Coturnix japonica: one gene and its partners. The protein of the gene in region 1 purifies or fractionates together with the protein of each later gene. This does not show direct contact. Links are inferred from orthologs where the notes say so. Each region holds a gene or a part of one and is shown in the gene's direction. Other genes may lie near its edges.

The links.
Region 2: the proteins of TNFAIP3 (region 1) and caspase-8-like purify together in Homo sapiens (affinity purification with western blotting; 3 studies listed by BioGRID and IntAct, with this or other methods). This does not show direct contact. The link is inferred for Coturnix japonica from reciprocal best matches to the Homo sapiens genes TNFAIP3 and CASP8.
Region 3: the proteins of TNFAIP3 (region 1) and MTOR purify together in Homo sapiens (affinity purification with western blotting, with the first as the bait; 3 studies listed by BioGRID). This does not show direct contact. The link is inferred for Coturnix japonica from reciprocal best matches to the Homo sapiens genes TNFAIP3 and MTOR.
Region 4: the proteins of TNFAIP3 (region 1) and RNF11 purify together in Homo sapiens (affinity purification with western blotting; 3 studies listed by BioGRID and IntAct, with this or other methods). This does not show direct contact. The link is inferred for Coturnix japonica from reciprocal best matches to the Homo sapiens genes TNFAIP3 and RNF11.

The regions. Positions count from the first base shown.
Region 1 is NC_029518.1:49,374,468-49,379,785, reverse strand, and holds the start of TNFAIP3 (tumor necrosis factor alpha-induced protein 3), read left to right. Parts: upstream 1-2,121; 5' UTR 2,122-2,496; intron 2,497-4,731; 5' UTR 4,732-4,747; coding exon 4,748-5,045; intron 5,046-5,318. UniProt on the Homo sapiens protein: Ubiquitin-editing enzyme that contains both ubiquitin ligase and deubiquitinase activities.
Region 2 is NC_029522.1:9,931,830-9,937,117, forward strand, and holds the start of caspase-8-like, read left to right. Parts: upstream 1-1,986; 5' UTR 1,987-2,249; coding exon 2,250-2,259; intron 2,260-2,313; exon of another isoform or gene 2,314-4,976; intron 4,977-5,088; exon of another isoform or gene 5,089-5,184; coding exon 5,185-5,288. UniProt on the Homo sapiens protein: Thiol protease that plays a key role in programmed cell death by acting as a molecular switch for apoptosis, necroptosis and pyroptosis, and is required to prevent tissue damage during embryonic development and adulthood.
Region 3 is NC_029536.1:3,615,625-3,621,122, reverse strand, and holds the start of MTOR (serine/threonine-protein kinase mTOR), read left to right. Parts: upstream 1-1,806; 5' UTR 1,807-1,922; intron 1,923-2,916; 5' UTR 2,917-2,959; coding exon 2,960-3,079; intron 3,080-3,440; coding exon 3,441-3,549; intron 3,550-4,348; coding exon 4,349-4,581; intron 4,582-4,936; coding exon 4,937-5,137; intron 5,138-5,481; coding exon 5,482-5,498. Other genes in the region: UBIAD1 (ubiA prenyltransferase domain-containing protein 1), read right to left, coding at 668-1,163. UniProt on the Homo sapiens protein: Serine/threonine protein kinase which is a central regulator of cellular metabolism, growth and survival in response to hormones, growth factors, nutrients, energy and stress signals.
Region 4 is NC_029523.1:21,429,293-21,434,066, forward strand, and holds part of RNF11 (RING finger protein 11), read left to right. Parts: intron 1-2,494; coding exon 2,495-2,664; intron 2,665-3,184; coding exon 3,185-3,356; 3' UTR 3,357-4,774. UniProt on the Homo sapiens protein: Essential component of a ubiquitin-editing protein complex, comprising also TNFAIP3, ITCH and TAX1BP1, that ensures the transient nature of inflammatory signaling pathways. Promotes the association of TNFAIP3 to RIPK1 after TNF stimulation.

The DNA.
Region 1 (5,318 bases):
ACCAGAATATAGGTAGCTGCAACTTAAGATGTTTCTCACCTGTCTTTGATGGCAAGAAGTTCCCCATTCCCTATGATAGATATATCTACGTATATAGATGCATAAAAATATGTATTAATACACGTATGTGTGTACATGGACACACTTCAAAGAAGGAAAATGGCCTTCTCACGTATATATATATGCTTATATCTTGATATAATGCTTATATTTAGTGAAATGGTGGGATGAACTATGGATTATAATTACAGCTCACAGGAGTAAATCTGAAAAGAGGAATGTATATTCATGCATTATCCAATAACCATTGATGAAGCTGATGTTGTTATGTGTATTGCTATATAACCTGGGAGATCTGGTTGATAGGACTGAGCTTCATTTTGTGCTGTGCTAACTCATCAAATGAATTCCTACTATCCTGCTCAGACCTGCATGATAAACATCAGTCTTAGCTACGTGCAATCAGCATCTAGTTTATCAAGGTGTAGACAGTAATTGAATATGTTCAGAGCTTAGAATAACAAAAAATCTGTTGTCCTTTCAGTTTTTCCTCATAGGCTCATAGGTATTTCCCTCATAGGCTCACAGCTATTGCCTGCAGAACGTTTTACTCACACTTATTTTCCTTTTATTATGCTTGTTGTTATAACAACAACACCTCTCAAAAACAAACAAAACCAAAAAACAAGCAAACCACAGAAGGGTCTAGAACCACTTATTAATCTATTTGCTGCAGTTTTACACACGAAGTAACATATAAATCAGCTCGTTTTACATTTCTTACCCTAACTGCTTATTCCCACTCCATGGTGAAACTGACCATCACTTTAAATGCTCTCTGTAAAACTGAATGAGTGACCTCTCATCGAATCACTGGGGGAAAATGGCTTGGTTAAGTTATATATACATGTGCGTGCGTATGCATACATACATAAATACATATATATAGCTGGCTTCTAATCAGATCACTTCAGTATCCCAGTACCTCAGCACACATCAGGGTTACAAAGAAAAACAACCAGGAACAGGGAATAGCAGGTTCTTTTTTAAACGGACTTCTCTGTTGCAGACAATATCCACTGGGTAAACCACACCCCGGGTGCAGCCCCAGTTATGTAAGTAATCACTCAGACCCAGTTCCTCCGGCACGCAGCCTCCTTGGATATCAGTCAGCCCTCAGACTATCCGTAAGCGCAGAGCCTTCCTATGTATTCCTAGGCAGAGATAGAAGGGCAGCGGACCACACAGAGCCAAACACAGGGCTTTAAGCAGTGAGAAGGAGCATGCCATCACAGAGTTGCACAGATGCCATGAGGGCACGAGCTGAGCCAGCTGATGCTAATGGAGGCAAGGAAGCTCAGGTATGAGCTCTTTCCAGGTCCGCCTGTTCTGTGACAGGCCTGATTTTAAGGTGTGGGGCAACTCCAGCTTCTCATCCAACCAGTGGGACCTGTGGGTGCTCTGGAATTGGCAGGCGTTCAGCATCTGGAGAAAGCCTCTTAGGACTGAAAAAAGACTTTTTTGTATTATATTTCTGCCTGCCTTCAGGTTACAAGTCTTGCAGGCAAGGAGCTGCCCATTTGCAATTGAGATCACATCTGTATGCTTTATTAAGAGGCCCTAAGTGCTTTATTCAGACTTTTTCCATTGCACAGGCTTTAGGGTGCTATTTAAAGGTGCGAATTACATGCCCGCAGCCATTAAAGGTATGAGATGCCACAACTGGCCAGTGGCTCCAGGATGAAGTCCTCCATAGCCTCAGCCTGTTCTGCCCCTTGCCTGCCTTGAGCAGGGCTGGATGAGAACCTGTTACAGGTTACCTGTTACCTGTTACAGGCTGAGGGTTTGTTTAGCCTGGAGAAGAGAAGGTTGTGGGGTGACCTCATTGCAGCCTTTCAATACCTGAAGGGAACTTACTCCCAGGAGGGGAGTAAACTCTTTGAAAGGGCTGACAGTAGCAGACACAGGGAAATGGTTTTAAGTTAAAAGAGGGAAGATTTAGGTTGGATGTTAGGGGGAAGTTCTTTACTAGGAGAGTGGTTAGGCCCTGGAACAGGCTGCCCAGGGAGGTTGTAAGCGGAGGGAGCGCTTCGGTGCCCCCTGCCGGCCCTACGTGGAGCCAGCGATGCCTGCGCTGCTGTTGTCACATGTCGGAAAGTCCCAAGCGCTGACGGTGGAAATCCCCGCTGGGGTTTTTTTTTGTTGTTGTCTTTTTTTTTTTTTTTTTTTTTTCCTGTCCATGCGCTGAAACAGAAAGGGGAAAGAAAACAAGAGGCTGAGCTCAGCCCTTCATTCCGCAGCGCAGGCAGCGGCGGCAGCAGCTCCGGAGAGGGGAGGGGGCGGCGGACGCGAGAGCGGCCAGGTCAACCCGGGCCTGCTGCCGGCTGGGTGTTGATGGCGGTCGAGCCTGACTGTGTGCCCCCGCCGCGGCCCAGCTGCTGAGCGGCATTTAGCGGCGGATCGAGCCCGCGCCTGGAGGAGCCCGCCGGGCGAGAGGTGAGCAATGCTCGGGCTGGGAGAGAGGCTGCCCGACTGTATTGTGGAGGTTTTGTTAGCAGTCCCGCGGCGAGCGGTGGAATTGTGCCCTCTGTTGACTGGCGGTGGGCCGGGGTTGCAGGTAGAGCGGGGGGCGGCCGGCTGCGAGGCCTGGCTGGGGCTGCTGCCACCCGCACCTCCGAGGGACGGAGGCTGGAGGCTGCAGGAGGCTTTTAGGCTCGTTGCAGTGCTCGGCCGGCAGGGGTTTACCATTGGCTTCTTCGGTTAGGGGACAGAGCTGGAGAACGGAACACAGGGTTCCCCAAGACCAGCATCTTCCATATTATGTGCTGGGGAACTATGTGCTGCACTGTTTGCAACTTTTTTCTTTTCCTGGGAGCTCAGTAATTACATGTTTAAAGGCCATGTAGGGTGGCCATGCAATGAAGCACAGTGTGGTGTTAGCAAGTACAGCCTTAATGTGCTTTGAGTTGTCAGCTTCTGTGGCTGCTGAGCTGCTTCATTGCTTTGTTTCTCATAGTCAGGGTTGCTCTGATGTTGCCTTGATTGATGTTTGAGGTAACTGCCACAGACAGTAGTTTCCACTTTTGGAGGGGAAAATGTGCCCGTAGAATAGAACAGAACATTGAATTTACGGTTCCAGTGAATGCTTCTGTAGACTCAGTACTTTTTGTTACCTAAAGCTGGAAATAACCACTTCAAGGGTCCGTGCCAGTAGTGATTAATCATCTGATAAGCCTTTATTTGGGTAAAAAAACCTCATTGACTCAATGACTCTACTTACGTAACTTAGGAATTCAGTACTCTGGCCGTCTCCGAGCAAAGCAGAGACGTGGTTATTAAAGAGGTTAATATGTTTATATGTCATTCCTCAATCCCATATTTAAATATATGGATGGTTTATGTGAGTGGCGTGTGTGAAAGTATATTGGTTAGGGATAGATGAGAAGCAGCTGTTAGGAAGCTTTCTCTTGTTTCTGGTCGCCCTATACTTGGCATGGCATGTATCAAGGTCTTGATTTATACGTATGACTTAGTATTTGTCCCTAAATTTGTAATCCTCACTCCTGCTGTGACCAACTGGATTCTAAATGTTAGGTATGCAGACCTTCATTTCGCTTGATAGAAATCTGGTTGTGTGAGCAGAGCAGCAGTCTACATGGACAGCACGTAGTCTCTCCATCTAAAAATAATAGCTCATGGTGTTACTGCAGTGCACAGGAGGGATGTGTGAATGTGGTCCCTGCATCTGGCTGCAGCGAGACACAGAGTTAGTGTGCTCAGAATGAGTATTTCAGACTACAGATACTTCGAGGTTATGGGGTTGGTTGGCTTTTTGTTGTTGTTCTTCCTGCTGTAGCCCATCAGGCCAGAGGTATGGAAGAAAGGGATGCAGGGCAGTAAATGCTGCTTGTCCCACTATGGAAAAATATTGGGGCTTTTGAGCCAAGTGGAAATGCTTTTTCAGCGATGTTGACTTACCGCTGAGTAATAGTGGCACCGCAGCTTGTTCCCCCACACATTGCACGAGCACCTCTGCAGTGCTATTCTGCTCACAAAACAGAAGGAGCCGCAAGAAGAGTAGCACAGGTCTGGCCCTGAGTGCTTGATCTGCCACTAATACCTCTTTTACCATCTCCAGCCAATGTAAGTATGGGACAGAATCTAGCACACTGTGTGATATCCAGGCTCTTTTTATATCATACCAGCATCACTTATCAGAATGCATGAGCTGTGGAAATCTGAAATGGACATTATCTGTTTTTTTGGCATGTCATCAAAACAAGAGTTTGGAATGTGCTGAAAGTTCAGCAGGTTCATATGGTGGTTACAGTGTGCAATTATCAATTAGTCAAGTTTCCAAGATAGTTTTCCCTTCCCTTGATCTTGCCTTTTTCTTTCCTTGCTTTCATTTAAGTGCCTTTTTTTTGTACAATGATGTAATCGTCTTAGTGAAGAATGAACTCTCTTCAGGAGTTCAATGAATGATCACAATAAATGGGTGGAATAAGCTCTTCAGTAGTTATCTCTGTGTAATGCAGAGAGGCTGACAGAGGTAAATGTTAACAATAAGAACTGGTATAAGTCTCAGTGGATGTCATTCGCTCTGTGTACTAACAGGCAAAACAGCAACTAGAATTCCACACATGGAAGTGTATTCTCAGTCTGTGCAAACCTTGCAGAGCAAGGGCAATTAACAAGTCAGTAAGAGAACACTTTTCTTTTTCATTTCAGATTTTTGTCTAGGAACATGGCTGGCCAGCACATCCTTCCTCAGGCTTTGTATCAGAGCAATATGCTGAAAGCTGTGAAGATTAGAGAGAGGACACCTGAAGATCTGGTCAAACCCCCCAGTGGAATAATTCACCACTTCAGGACTATGCACAGATACACTATAGAAATGTTCAGAATGTGCCAGTTTTGCCCTCAATTCCGGGAAACGCTTCAGAAAGCCCTGACTGACCAAGCCACCCAGACTTCACTGGAGCGCCACAGGAAACTGAACTGGTGTATGGAGGTCAGGAGACTCGTGCCTTTGAAAACTAATGGTAAGTTGTGAGCAGGTCTTTGAACTCATTTTAAAGTGGGTAATACAGATCTGCCCTTTTATCTTAGTTGCGTAAGCTAAAATTCTCTCCGCGTAGCATGCTGTCTGGAGTCTGTAGCAATCCCCATCCGATGGCATGATGAGTGGCCTGAAAACTTCCTGGGTATTTTCATAACATCAGTAACTTCTGTCTGTCCATTGCTGTTCCACAGGCCTGACTTTCCATGTGTCAGTTCTCCTATTAGAAGCAGTGGTCAGCCCTTAACTCTAGGCA
Region 2 (5,288 bases), on another chromosome or scaffold:
GTTTGTCACAGACAATAATGTATCTGTACAGAAGTACAAAAGAAAAATGATTGTTATATATCTCATTCTTTTCCTTCACTTTTTTTGTTTGTTCGTTTGTTTACTTTGTTATTAATCTACATGGTTGGGCAGCATTGCTGGTTACAATTTTTAATAATAAGTTCCAATTGTGCTCTTTCTCAAAGCGCTTGGGAAAAATTATGTTTTGAAAGATTGTTGATCACTGTAAGTAAGGTCCCACTCCATGAGACTCACAATTCTGAGATGCTGTCACCTCCTGGCAACTGGCTGTAGCTTCTGCAGGCTTCTAATCTCTGTTGTAATAAATACTGTTGGTTATCACATTGTTTGTGGTGTTTTCCTCTGAGGAGCTGGTTGAAAAACAGTCGGCACAACAGACCTCCTTTGCTTCGTCTGAAGAAGTTATTTTTGCTGAAGTATTCTATGGCAGACATCCTGAGGGAGGGGTGACTTGTTGATATTCTTTCATTAGCAGTTGGAGAGACGGTAGGAAACTTAAGAGTAAAGAGTACATAAGAGTAAACTTAAAAGTTAGGACATTCTTGATAATGGGAGCTGATGCCAGTGAAGCTGTTCTCACCTTGTATCTTTAGCAATGCGTATGTAGTATCTGGGAGCCATCTGGAATTCTAATGGCTACATCCCTTTTGATCTTTATAACAAGACAAAGGATCAATGTGAAACACTTTATAATTTATGCTTTTTAAAGAACTTTTAAAATAACTTCTGCTTTTTTTTAATCCAGACTTTTTTTGAGACCTGTGTCAATCTGTAATGCAGGGGTTCTTTATTCAGTCCTGTTTATCTTCCTGAAGTGAGGCTTCTTTACTCCTAATTCCTCACAGTATGCTGACAGTTGCTCTGCTTGCCATTTTCCCTTTCCAAGTAAAAGAGAGAATGTCTGTTCTTAGAATCACAGCTCTGTTCATATGGGCTTCATAAGTAATAAATAGATGTTATGAGCACTATATAAGCGAGAGTGCTGTTTATGGCAGATGTTAGCAGAAGGTGTTACGGGTTTTGCTGCATTTTTATAGCTGATGTTTGGTTAACTGTTGAGGAAACATTCACATTTTTATAGAATTTTCATAAGTAAGACCTTGCTATAATGGAGTTGTTATATTTTGTATGTTGTTTTTTTAAATTTATGGAAATATAGTTTAAATGAAATTGCTGCTTCCTCTAGGAGAAGCTTGATGGAAGTTGGCAGCTGCTCCAGTAGAATTAAAAGAAAACATTACTGGTATTAGTGAAGTGGTGAATCTACAGCATTTGTTTCTTTCTATGTCTCCATGTCAGAGTTCTGTCCTTTCAGACTAACTTCTTTTGTATACTCCACATGAGCAGAATTTAATGTCTAATATAAAATTTACTTGTTTGGTGTTACTTGGGTCTTTTTAATATAGTAATAATAAACATAATATCATAAAATATGAGACATGACTTTTGGAGAAGCCCTTGCACTTGCAAGTAGTTTCAGGAAGAAGCCATACTGTGCGCTGATAATGTGGCTCAGTGAAGGAGAAAATACACTTTCATTTTTTGTGGTTCTGAGCAAAATAAACACACACACCCCAAGGCTGAGTGGCTGTGATGTTTCCGACCAAATTTGATGCCCTCTACCAGAGCTGAGAGCTAGGAAGGATACTTGACGGCTGTACAATTTCCTGTTTCTTCTCTGCAGCATAAGCCGGAGAAAGCAGAGGGGCAATTGCCTCTCCATTCAGAAGGCTATAGTTAGTCAGCTATAATTATTCACCCTGCCTTCCCTTTTCTTCAGCTCATGTCTGGAAGGCAGAACTTTGCACTCAAACAATGCTGGCACTTACGTCTGTTATGTTTTCAGCCAGTGGAAGCATTACCAGCAGGCAGTGAATCACAGGCTTGGCAGGAAGGCGAGGCTGAGTTAAGTCCTGCAGAGGTGAGCTAGAAAGCAGCCAATCAACGCGACGCTGTTTGGGAAAGAAAGTGCTGAGAAGACGGAGGGAGGGCCATTATCTGCTTAGACGGAAACAGTGTTCATTCAGAGGCACGAATGTCTGCCCTTTGATTTGCATCGTCTTTTCCTATTTGTTCAGTTGAACGTCAGTTTCCCAGAGATGTTGATGCCAGCCTCCCCTGGGAAGTTTATCATTCAGTTTTTAGGGTAACCTGGTAATCTGCTGATGCCGGGGTGGGATATCGGCACGTATTAGGAGCCTGCCTGCTCACTGCTGCTTTCTCTCTGCATGGGCTGCTGTAAGTATGTGCCTTTCCATTACCTCTGTAAGGGTTCACTCTTTTCAAAGTTTTTAAAGTTCTGAAAGGTTTGATTGCAGTGGATTTTTAATTTATTTACTTACTCATTTACATTTAACTGTTGGGTAGGTCTGTTGTCTACAACATCTCATACAGGAAACCCTGGAAACTCATGGGAAGTGGAAACAAACTCCACATCCTTTTGAAGATCCAGTTGTGCAGCAAGGAGTCCAGAGCTAGAATGTTCTCAGGAAGTTTTCATTGTTGAGTCCTTGATGGCCATCCTTTTTATTTTGACCCCTAACTTACATGGGCACATGTTCTCTGAAATTATTCAAATGAACCTTTTTCTGATAAAGAGGTGTAAACTTACAGAGGACATGTTTAGTTTATGGTGGTTTCTGTACAGTGTACTAAAATATAGTTGAGATCTTTGGGAATTCCCAAGTACTCATTTGTGTTTCCTTTCTGAAGCCGTGCCTTTGCTCACTGCTGTGCTTGTTCTATATTTGACAACCATGGGAATTCCCCAGTCACATAACGTGGCTGTACTTTTGCAGTTCTCAACGGTAACACGTTCCTAGCTCGATACAAAATTATTCTGCACATATCTTTGGAGCTTGGCCTGGGTCTTTTACATCAGTTGCTCCTGTAGCCACTTTGTGCTAAGGCTGCTCTGTCCAGACATGTCAGTGCAAACAGAACAATCCATGCCTCCTGCAGTCTGCTTACTAGGAGTTTGTTTTAACTGCACATGAGGAGATGTAAACACATAAGCTGCTAAAAGTCTCACTGCATTCACACACCTTCCACCTTTGACCTCATCTATATGCAGGCAGTAACCAAATATCTTCCTTACAGCTTTGAACACTGGTGACTTTTATGACAATAATGTAAATATTAACTGCTGCGTTAAAGGGTAAATATCCAATTTGACAGATTCTTTTCAGTACCAATAATGGGAATAACACATCTCTGAGCTATTGAACACCTCTATAGAGTTTCTTTGTTTCCCAGGGGAGCACTTGATGTAACTGAGTGTGCAAATCTCACCCCATATTTGTCCTGGTGGGGGTGGGAAGAGAGGCTCAGCCCATTGACTGGTTCTGGAAGTCAGCAGTGTCCTCCCAAATTGTCCGCGATGGTATCTTTCCCAAAAATTCCTCCAAGTTCCCATCCCTGTGCTTAAGGAACTGTCATGGAATACACTGCATATTTACTGCAATCCATCTTGGAGGTGTCTACAATGCTTTTCTGCTTTTGAGAGGGGAATGTCCCAGTAACTGACTTCCAGTAATTACTCCACATAATCGATCTTGTGACTACAGTTGCTCAAGACTCACAATATTCAGAAAGAACTGGGGAGGGTATGTGCAGCCTTGTTATGAGGATTAGACCTCAAGAGCTCTGGGTCTGTTCATTATTTATAGGGTAAGATGATTGGCAGAGTCATAGTATGTAGCAGAACTGTGTTATCAGCCCTGAACACAGTCTTGGGTGTAACAGCCAGGCCAAAGGAGGAGGCTGGAGGTGGGAGGAAGCACACCCTCAGATTACTGTCTACATTTTTTTAATTTATAATTTTTTTTGAAAGAGAGAAGTGGTAGGAAGAGGTTCTGTTTTAAAATCAGTGCTGAGTGCAGCTCTCCTGTCAAGGTGTTAACGTTCAGTTTTAGAACCATGAAACTCCAACCTCCCTCCTTCCTCCTGTTGTTATGAAATACTATCTGTGTGTTAGAATTTAGAACAGAGGTGATGCACCATCCCAAGGTCTCACCCCATCATGTCACTTCCTGTGGGCTCGCTCCTGCTGCTGAAAGCCTCCAGCAAATCCCAAGGGCTGGGAAGGGAGTTGGTTCAGTGGCTCGTGCCCATTATTAGGGAACAGGGTCAAATACCTGGACTGAGTGTGCTGCGCTTCCTGTCAGCAGCAAGGGGGCAGCTTGCGAGGAGGAAATGGTGTTCTGAGATTCTTTGTCAGTATTGAAATGACGATGAATTGTTAGTGCCCTTGGACTGTGGAGGTGTGACTGCCGCAAATGCCCAGGCAGTGGGAGAGCTCCTAACCTGCACAGATAAGTTCAGTTTTCTTACGAATCCTTTTCATGCCAGAAATATCCTTGGAATGCATGTGAAGATAATGATGTGATTTGAGCTCAAACTCTTATTGGAGAACTCTGAGGACCTCTTATTTGCTATGCTTAACCACTGAAGTGCCACTCTGGCAACTGATTTTCACGTGTCTCTGTGTGTTTCTTCTGAAGTACTTCAGCTCAGTGGCAAAGCTCTTCCTTTTGCTTCCCCCACGTTTCCGCTTTCTGTTTTTTCTGAGTGGGTGTATGAATTTTATGAAGCAAAAAGGGAAGAATACAAAAAAGGAGGGGGCAGTGTTTATGTAAAACAGCTCAGAATGCTGTTTTGCATGTAATACAAAACCAGCCATGTATATAAAATTCACTTTTTCCTGTCAGTAGCATGCGTGTTTGAAGTGATATGAGAAATCTCTCCACTGGAAAAAGAGCACCCATCTGCCATTGGCTTTTGTTTGTTTGTTTGTTTTTGTTTTGTTTTGTTTTTTAAACAGTAAAGAGAGATGTATTGGTATTTCACGGTAAGAAAAGAAAAGGAAATATGAAGTACAGGGTCGCCCAGGCTGAAGAAAGAAGCTCAGCATTTGGACAGCAGTGACGCCTGTGGAGGGAGATAGAGTATGGGAGGTGGGCGCTGGTGAGCGCTGGCCGGCCCCTGTGCTCCCCCCAGCCGTGCCAAGCGTACAGCGGGATTTTCTACTTCTTCAGCCTCTATTTTTTTTTTTTTTTTTTTAAGCAGTGCTCTGTAACAGTGAACGGAAACGGCCTCAGCTGTGTCAGAAAGCTCCTCTCTGGCAGACAAGCAGTTTCTGAGTTGAACTGCGTTTTTTTTAAGCCAGGAATCCAGACAGAACTACAGCTCCCAGGAGCCTGGGCGCTGCCTCGCCGGACGAAGTGGGCGGAAGCACGGAAGCGCGGGTGCACAAGGAAGTGGTGCCC
Region 3 (5,498 bases), on another chromosome or scaffold:
GAAGACATGAGATGTACACCACAAAAAGCTTCAGGAACACTTGAAAGGAGCATCTACAGCCATACAGAGCTCTAACAGCGTTGAAACAAGTTATAACAGTGTTGCTACACTTGCTAGGGTTCGTTGATGAATAGACATGGACCTGCCCTGCAGTTTTTGTTCTGATAACAGGAAGAGCTGTGTCTCTGAACCAGGAGATAAGGAAGTTTTACTGAGTCTTTATACCAAGGAAATAGAAGATGCTGCTTGGAATCAGCCACTGAACACATAATTCTGGGAAACTTGTGTATGTAACACATCTCTTAGAAATCTCCTCATGTAATGCATATTAACTAAGGATCTTCTGCCAGCATGCAAGCTGTGCTGATAGGGGGATTACCCCCATGCATTCAGCACTGCTATTAAAGAACTGCCTTCTAACACTCCAACTTGAGGTTTTCCTGATCAACTGCCTTACAGTAGCAATGTCTCAATGCTACTTTCCAGCTGAACTTGATGCATCCTTTCTCACACCTTCCCACTGTAATCAATGGCAAGGCTATGAACCAGCATTTCAGGGAATACCATCATATATTTTCCAAGCAGCTTATTAGATCACTTGGATCTCCCCTGACAAGTCAGCTCACTGGCACATTCAGACTGAAAGCAAACAGGGCCCGGTGCTTACCTCCAGTATAGAGGAAGGAGCTGGACAGCCCCCCGAAGTAAATCAGGGCCAGGTGCTCCAGCTTCAGCGTTGAGACAACATAGAGCCCAGCAGCGCAGACACAGCCCACGGTGTACAGGAACACCCCGAACCGCACCACGTCCTGAGGTTCCAAGATCTGGTCCACCAACGTCCTGTCATCGCTCTTCTTGTGATCGATGCCTTTGGAGAAGTCGTAATACGTGTTCACCAGGTTACCGGCCCCGTGCACGGCCAGTACGACCACGGCGCTGCCCACCAGCAGGCGCGGGTCCAACGCTCCCTGTGCCCTGTAGGCCAACGCGCTGCCCAGAGCCACGGGGGTGAGGGAAGCGCTGAAGCTCCATGGCCGCAGTGCCAGCACATAGGCCGCGCACTTCTGCCTCCAGCCGCCGGCGGGGCCGCGCTCAGCCCCCGGCCCGCACTCGTTCCTCTCGGCGTTAATGCTGATCTTCTGCACCAGCTCGGCCGGCCCCATGCTCTCACAGCTCCCTGCAAGGACAAGGGCCAGGAGTCAGGGCCCGGAGTGTCGGTCGGGCCGCACCGCCGCCATGGCCGGGCCTGAGGTAGAACCCGAACGGCAACGGGCACCAACGCAACAACGCACCGCCCCCCCCGGCACTCAGCCCCGAGCCGAGGGTTCCGCTCCGTGCGGCACAACGGCGACACGTAGCGCCACATCGGGCTGCGATGGAAGCACTAAGTGCTGCCCTGCGGCGCCTCCCATCCCCGCTGTAGGTGCCGTAGTGTTTGATGAGAGCTCAGAGCTCAGAGCTGAGAGCTCAGAGCCGCCCCGCCCGCCCTCAGCCCCACACGGCCCCATTTCGGGCACACACCGGGCGTTGGCGCACGCGTACAACAACACGCTCGGCCTCTCGGGGAGCAGCCGGCTGCGGGCGGGCCTAGAGCTGCTCAGCAGCTGAACCAACACAGCACAACACAGCACAGCACAGCACAGCTCAGCACAGCACAGCACAGCTCAGCACAACTCGTTATCGCCCCATCGCGCCGCCATCGCTCTCAGTCACCGCCTGGCAGCGCCCCGCCGGCCGCTCTGGTGGCTCCTCAGCGGGGGAGGCGGGGCTAGGAGCGCCCCTTCCCTTTTCTCCTATTCCTATTGGCTGGATGCAGTACCTATCAAACATTCTCTAGCAGCCTATTGGTCCATAGCGTCTCGCCGGTCCGGTAGGCGCGGGGGAGGCTGCCGGGGCCCGGAGCGGGGGAGCTGGCGGTGGAGGTGAGTGTCGTTCGGGAGCCTCCCTTCATCCATCCTCCCTTCACCCTCCATCCCTTCACTCCTCGCTCCCTGCTCGGTTCCGCCATCACGGCCCTCCCTCCTCGCAGGCCGGCGCCTCAGCCTTCCCTCGTTCCCGGCTCTTGGAGCTCGGGCCTGTCGCCTCCCTCATTGGTGACGGGGCTCCTCACAGGGTCCCCTCGTCCTGAGAAGCCCGAGGTCACCTCGCATTGTGTTCTTCATAGGGTTTGTGGCTGTGTGGGGATATAGGGGGGAAAAAAATAGAAGCTTTGGTGCGTGGTGGTGCTGTGGGCCCTCCTGTCAAGTGGGCAGCTTGGGTTTATGTGATTTGATGCTTTGAAACCTTTAAAATGTTCTTTATCAACCCCCCCCACCCCCCCTTCCCCCTCAAAAAATAACCATCAACAAGATCAGGCCCCACTTGTGGGGGACTTCTGATGTGTGTTACAATAGCAAACATCCCACTGCAGTGACTGCTGTTGCTATAAGTGGCCATCTCGTCTCTAAATACCTCCTGAGGAATGTAATGCTTGCCAGGCACCGAGTGTTCATAGAACATGGGGATTTCTGTGGAGAAACTTGGTTAAAAATGCTCACAGAGGAATCAGATGCCATCATGGCACCGGTGGGAAGGACTCTGCCTTGTTATGGGGTGACTGTAAAACTTTGTCTTATTGTGGTGCCTCTTTGGCTGTGGTGTGTCTTGCAGCCTGGTGCATCTGGGCTACCAGAGTGTGTTTTGGTGCTGGAGGAAGCAGGGAGGAAGTGGGCTGTGGGAGATGTTATGGTGTGATGTGGTTTTATCATGAGGCTGTAGTGCCTTGGGGAAGGTAATGGTTGGCTGTATTGTTTGTACTGTCTGGCACAGCATCCTTGCATGCAATGGGATATATGTTAGAAAAAGGCTGTAGGGGCAGAGTTAAGAAGCTCAGAGATTTCAGTAACTGAAAGTACTAAAAATCCCGTGTCTCTGAAGAACTTACAGGACTTGATGCCCCAAGCCCCGGCATAACAGCACCATGTCAGGCACTGTGTCTATTCTCCAACAATTTGCCAATGGCTTGAAGAGTCGCAGTGAAGAAACAAGGGCAAAAGCTGCCAAGGACCTGCAGCATTATGTCACCATGGAGCTCCGTGAAGTGAGTGCTGCAAAAAACGAATGATCTGTCTATCAAATGAGCATAGGGCACTGGCTGGGTACTCTGGGGATGGGTGTTTTTGGAACATAGAAACTGTTATTAGTGAGGAGGTGGGGCATAACATGGAGCTTACCTTTGTCCAAGCATGTAGGAGAGGTGAGGTGAGCAATGGATGGTCAAGCACCAGGATAAATAAACTCAACAGGTCAAGGGCATAAAGAAGAGAAACTGTTTATAATGTGTGGTTGATTTAATTTCTTTCTATTAGTGTAGCCTAAGGAGCATTGTCTCTATGGAGGTTTTGGAAATAGCAAGAGAAGGGAGAATGCTGAAGGCCTATATGAATCTTTTCCTGTTACAGATGAGCCAGGAGGAGTCCACCAGGTTTTATGATCAGCTGAACCATCACATTTTTGAACTGGTCTCTAGCTCTGATGCAAATGAAAGGAAGGGTGGCATTTTGGCTATAGGTGAGTAAAAGTGTTTTATGCCTTTGAGTTTTCTCTTCAGGTACTTGATCAATTGGGACAGATTTTCCAAACGAATGAACTTGTGCAGTCAGAGCCTTATGTCCAACTGCTCAGTACGCTGGGTGTGTGCTTGCTGCTGGGCTCAGAAATTCTGCCTGTTAGTGTCAGCGTGGGAGCTGCTGAGTGCTGAGAGTGGCTGAAAACCTGGTGCTTAATGGGCAGTGAGCTCTTCTGGGAGTCAAACATCAAACATGAGTGAGTGCTGAGCACATGAAAATTCTGTTCCTGAGCTCAACAGAACAATCTGTGCTCTCTGATATAGTGGTTGGCAGCCCTGCTCATCCAGGGGAGAGACTCATGTAGCTTTTGCCTTAATTCTGATCAGGTGCTCCATCAGTTGCTCTGGTTGTGCTTTCTGTGATGTGGCAGAGCTGCCTGTATTTTAATTGTTAAGAAAATCAGCTTGTATAAATACTTTGCTTTCTGGATGAGTAGCTTGTATTGTAGCAATTACTTCTCTAACTACCAAATAGGGGTTGCCTATGGGTTACCTTCACAGACATAATCATCCAATCCCAACAAGTCTGGAGACAGCGGAAGCCTCATAGCTAGAGAAATTGTTCTTGACAACATCTGATTTTTAAGCTGACAGTATTGCTTTAAAATTGTGTCTGTGACTTTAGTGCTGTTGAAAGGTACTGGCTTGGATAGGGGATACTAATTCCAAATTAGGGATTAGCTGCTGTCTGCTCCACTGATCCTTAGGGAGAACCTACAGCACTTCTCCTTTTCTCTACAGCCAGCCTCATTGGTGTTGAAGGAGGTAACGCCACCCGTATTGGCAGGTTTGCAAACTATCTGAGGAACCTTTTGCCATCCAATGACCCAGTTGTAATGGAAATGGCCTCCAAGGCTATCGGACGGCTTGCAATGGCTGGTGACACCTTCACAGCTGAGTATGTGGAGTTTGAGGTGAAACGTGCTCTGGAATGGCTGGGGGCTGACAGGAATGAAGGTCGAAGACACGCAGCTGTAAGTGATTCTTATTTATTTATTTTTTTGTTTTCACCTGTCTTGGAGTGGGATGGTTTGGTTTAATAGTGATAGGAGAGGTTCTCAGAAAGCTGGGAAAAGCTGTGCAAGTGTAAGGATCTGTGATGCTCTTGTAACAGATTCAGTGTTTCCTTACCTCTACCTTATGAATTCCTTGTGACTAAACAAGGTTGAAGACGCCCTTATGCTGTGATCCGTAAATGTGGACAGAACTGGTTACAGCTCAGGCTCCTGGGCACTAACAGTTTAAATAAAGGATGCTGCATTCTAGGTATTGAGGTTTGTGTATGGGTGCTCATTTTCACAGATTTACTGTTTCTTTCCCCACCTCCAGGTTCTTGTACTGCGTGAGTTGGCAATCAGTGTGCCTACCTTCTTCTTTCAACAAGTACAGCCGTTCTTTGACAATATTTTTGTGGCTGTGTGGGATCCCAAACAGGCCATTCGAGAAGGAGCTGTTTCTGCCTTAAGAGCCTGCCTTATCCTCACCACTCAGCGGGAACCAAAAGAAATGCAGAAACCTCAGTGGTACAGAGTAAGAAAATCACTTTATTTTGGAACAGCTGTTTTAGAAGAGTTAAGCTTTGTCTGAAGTTCAGCTTTGCTGCTGTTGTCACTTGGGTTAAGGCTTCCTAGTATCAATCACAATTTGGGTAGCGCAGCTAAATATTGTGAACTCTGCTTCCTTGTGCTCAAAAACGTGGTGCAGCTATGGATCAAGTTTGTACCATGGCTGTTTGATTAGTGCTGTAGAGAATATTCTGCAGCAGATTCTACAACTTGGAGATGATTTTTGGCTAGCAGTATGAATTACTGTTTTTCCACTGGCTTTACCTCTGTTATGATCACTGAGATTAATTTTTTTTCCTTTTCCCCAAGCATACATATGAAGAGGC
Region 4 (4,774 bases), on another chromosome or scaffold:
AAATAGCAGCAGTTTTACAGCAACGTAAGTAACCAGGGTGAGCTGCATTGATGAGAAAACCTCCAACAAAAAACGGTGCTTAACAAAACCTTTTTCTAGGCAGAACCCCAAGTGTGCCTGGGAATCCATGTGCAGAAACTGTGTCTGGGCTTCCAGCAAGGTGTGAAAGCATTTATTTTCACTAGAAATAAAAAATGCCGACCTCTGGGTGCCCTGTGTGATTGCTCTCCTCGCTCCCTCAGTGGAGAATTGAGGATTGACATGTAGACACAGACCCCGCTGTCCAGCTGGAGTCTGAATTGGTGCTGCTCCCACAGGGCCAGGGAGAGGAGAGAGGGATGTGAGAGGAGCCAGGGAGAGCCGTGCTGCCCCTGTGCTGTGATGGGGCACACACTGCTCCTGTGTGCCACTGGGGGCAGGGATAACTGATGAGTGCCAGTGAGCGGCTTTTATTTTGCTGGCTGACACTTTTATGGCAGTTTGATTGTTTGGTTTGGCCATATAGATATATGTATATATACATACATATGTAAAAATTTGTATGGAAGAATAGTTAGCGTGAAGTTTCATCTTAGTTTGAAACGCCTGGCGTCTATATCCAACGATAAAGAACACAGACATTGGCTGAAAGCTCAGTATTTTGTAATTCTGGCTGCAGAAACATTTTCCATGGTAGATAAAAGTGAGCCAGAAGAGCAATAAATCTGCACTCATCAGGACAGTAATAATTACATGGGTCACCTGATTTTTTTTAATGTATGTTTGTGCCATGGGGTTGTAGCTACAAGTGCTGTTGGAGCGAAGCCTCAGAGCCCCAAAACCACCCTGCAGGGTGCAGGGCCTTGCGGTGCCTGGGCTGATGGACACAGAGAGACATGCAGAGGGGCCATGAGCCCATGGGGGCTTCTGTGCCTCCAATGGGGAGTGGGCAGCTTTGGGATGGTCACTGCGGGTGCTCCCCATGGTCTGAGCCCTGCAATGTGTGTGCCCATGTTCTTCCATTTCACTGGCCTGGTTCCACGCAGCGGGCTCTGGCTCGGGCAGGGCAGGCTTTTAATAGCAATTGGAGGAGAGATTAAAGTGCCATCAGACAGTGTGTCAGGGATCAGGGATGGAACAGCCACTCGTTTTTATTTACAGTAACGCGATTTATGTGTTGTCACAGCAGCCTGGCAGACATCACCCCCTGGTTTTTCATGTTCCCATGCAGAGAGGCAGCACCATTCTCAGCCACTGCAACATCCAATGTGGTCCAGCACAGTGTCCTGTGTCCCCTCCTCTAATGGGGGACAAGGCACGGGGCAGCGGCTCTATTACAAGCAGGACCTGACATGGGGGGGGGGAGCTGCCATGCTGGGATGGCAGTGTGCTGTGGTATGTGGAGGGGATGGAGTGCACCGCTGGCCCTAAAATAACAGGGAGTTCTCAGGGGAATGGCCTCTAGGGGTTGGTAGGAGCAGGTGCTGGTATGCAGCTGGGAAAAGGGAGGGGTTTTGGCCTTGTTTGACCTTCAGTGCTCACAGTTGTGCTTACTGTCCCAAACCCACCTGAAAAGCTGTCAGCTCGGGGCTTGTGACTGAGGGATCGTCCCAAGAGCTGTCTGAAATGCCAGGGGTTTGGCTTGCAGCAGGATCTCATTTAACTGCAGTTTCTTACGCAGTGATGCTGTGCTCAGCTGTGTTGCTGTGCTCAGTTTGCTGTTCTGCGGTGGAGCCGTCCGCTGGCAGTCCCACGTCCTGCTACTTTCAGGCATTTTGAGTTCCTCGATCATTTTTCTTCCTCCAGTTCCTGCATTTCTTTATGTTTCTGTAACCCCTTGCTGTCAGGGCTTTACCAAATGAGCTGTATTGCTGTATTAAACACCTGCACCCTTCCCTGGCTCAGGCAAGCAGCACACTCCTTTCCTATGAGAAATAAAGGAGCACTGATGCCATCTCCTACTGGTATAATCCACAGAAGTACAGCAACGCCATGAAACTACAAAGGCAGGGGCAGCTTGTGGTGCTTGCAACACCAGATCAGAACAGGGCCCTGCCCTGGCTGAGAGGTGCGGCGTTAGGGAGGGGAGCGATGCTTTATCTCCCCAGCACGCAGGTCAGAGCCACGCCATGGGTGCTGCTGTATGACAGGTCACCCCCAGCTGCTGGCTGTCCCTGTCCCAGCAGTGCACAGAGAAATCTGTCAGGTCATGGGAACCGTTAAAAGGCAGCTGTGCTAGAAGGGAACTGTGACTTTGTGAAATAGAGCCTGAGCCCTAAGGAAATTAACCACACTTACTGAACACCAGCAGTGCTAGCCCAAAGCGTGGCTGAGGTGTCACTCACAAACCCATCCTGTATGTAATTTTAGCCACGAATTTGCAAATGAGGAGTGGGAAATCATCAAAATATTTGTAGGACTGAGAGAAGAAAAGTTAAATACATTGCCTGCGCGGTCCTAGGAAATACTAGGAAAGCCTTGGTTTAATTTTTTAATAGAAATATTTTAATTTTAGGAGCAAGTCCCCGTTCCTGTGTATCACCCAACCCCTAGCCAGACCCGGCTGGCAACGCAGCTGACAGAGGAAGAGCAGATCCGAATAGCGCAAAGGATAGGCCTTATCCAGCACCTACCGAAGGGAGTCTACGATCCTGGAAGAGACGGCTCTGAGAAGAAGATCAGAGAGTAAGTTCCACAGAGCTGCTGTGCACGTCCACTGGTCTGTGCTGTTCTCATGGGAAACCTCATCTGGTCTTTCTGTTTTTGCCTTACTTTCAGGGAGTGTAATTTGATGCAGCTTTCTTCCATGCAGAAGCCTCTTTGTTTTATCCTTCTTCACTTTTCTGCTATTTTCCCTCATGTGTGTAATTTATGCCCTTTTCTTCCTCCCTTTATGGGAAAATAATTCCATGCTTCTGCTTCTTCATCTTCATGGCTCCCATCTCCTGTTTCCAGTTCTGTGCAGGCTGCTGTGCTGTCCCATCCCTGGCTGCAGGCTTCCTGCTAATGCTGTGGTCAGGGGCTCCCAGTATGAAGAAAACACCAAGAAATCCAGTGCTGGGTGGAGCCAGCACTGATGTAACAAAGAAATCTTGCCATATCTGTCAGTAATAACAGCAGTTTGCATGATAGTCATATCTGACAGATACATTGCTTTTCATTTCCAGTGTGCTGCCATCACTGTAACTATGTCTTGTTTCCCCAGGTGCGTTATTTGTATGATGGACTTTGTGTATGGGGACCCTATCCGATTTCTGCCATGCATGCACATCTACCACCTGGACTGTATAGATGACTGGTTGATGAGATCCTTTACCTGTCCATCCTGCATGGAGCCAGTGGATGCAGCACTGCTTTCATCATACGAGACTAACTGAGCCAGGGTTTCTCCGTGAACCTTCAAGGAGACCATCCACGTCAATGGGTTTGATCCTTTTGTCATTCAGCCCAAAGAGCCAGAAATTAGGAATTAAGGTCATGCACAAAACATACATTTCCTAATGAATAAAAAATACTCCTGAATGGCTGCAAATATTGGGAAAAAAAAAAAAAAGCATAGTATTTTAGAGACTATAGAAAAAGTAGGTTGTTATTTTTAATGTAAAGCCTTGACCCAGCGTTGTCTTTAATGTTTGTTCTTACACCCGTATATAGGAATTGTAAAGTGTTACAGCAACTGTAAATGTTTAAACTGCGTGTATCCAATTTTATTAGCAGTAAGATAAGAGTATTTTTTTTTTCCTAAATAAAGTAACTTTTTTTTTTCCTGATTCTTTTCACAAGTCCTGGCATTTGGGTCAAGGCTTTATTAAAATCTACATTTTATAACACTGGCACAAAGAAATAGTTTTAAGCTTGTTTGCACAGTTCTTTTTTTTTCTTCCTTTCTTTTTTCTTTTTCCCTCCACTGGAGATGGAATTCATTGCCTTAGGTCTTTTTAATAGTGTAATGTTATTGTTGGGCTGGCTCTATGCTTGAAAACCAGTTTATTTATAACCTGTTACAAGTGCTATATTTTGTTTGCAGTTAGGAATATGCAGACTTCAAAGTGATCTCCTAGCTTGTAAGCAAACTGAGATGCATTATCCCTTTTCTGCAAGTGATGGTGGATATAAAGATACGGAATGGGTCCTGCAACTGAGAGTATGATACCATGGCTGTTAGAACTCACTTCAGTTTGCACTAAACAAATCTTTACATGTGGATGTCTACCTGAACTTGACCAAGGTAAAAGTGGGCCAAGATGGACAGTAAATAAGCAGTGAAGCTGCCATAATTGGAAACAAAGAAATTGGAACTAAAATAGCGTTAGCAGCAATTACTTATTTTATCTTTTTTCTCCCTAAAAAATGGTTGCCTTGAATTGCAGCAGACGGATACTGCATCTCTTGTTCTTGTAGTTCTTAGGTTTCAGAAGTTAAGAATAAACATACTGTATCTCAGTCTCCTGTATTACATGTATCTGTTAAGCCCTGCTGGCTGACACATCAGTCCACCATGCAGATAAGAAATCTTACCAAGCAAAGAAAAAGTATTTTGTTCTGCGCATAAATGCAGCATCTAAATGAATGCAGATCGTCACAGCAGCAATGGAGGGGGAAAATAGAACTGCTGGAGTCACAGTGACAACATTAGCTCATTTCTGCAGCAAAATTATGTGCTTATTAAGAGGTGGTTGCAAGATTGTAGCTGTAAAGAACTTTTATCCATTTAGGGTGGGTTTTTTTCCTTTTTCTTTCTTAACGTGCCCTGCAGTGACTTGTATACATTCAGTGCAGCGCTGATCCATTTTGA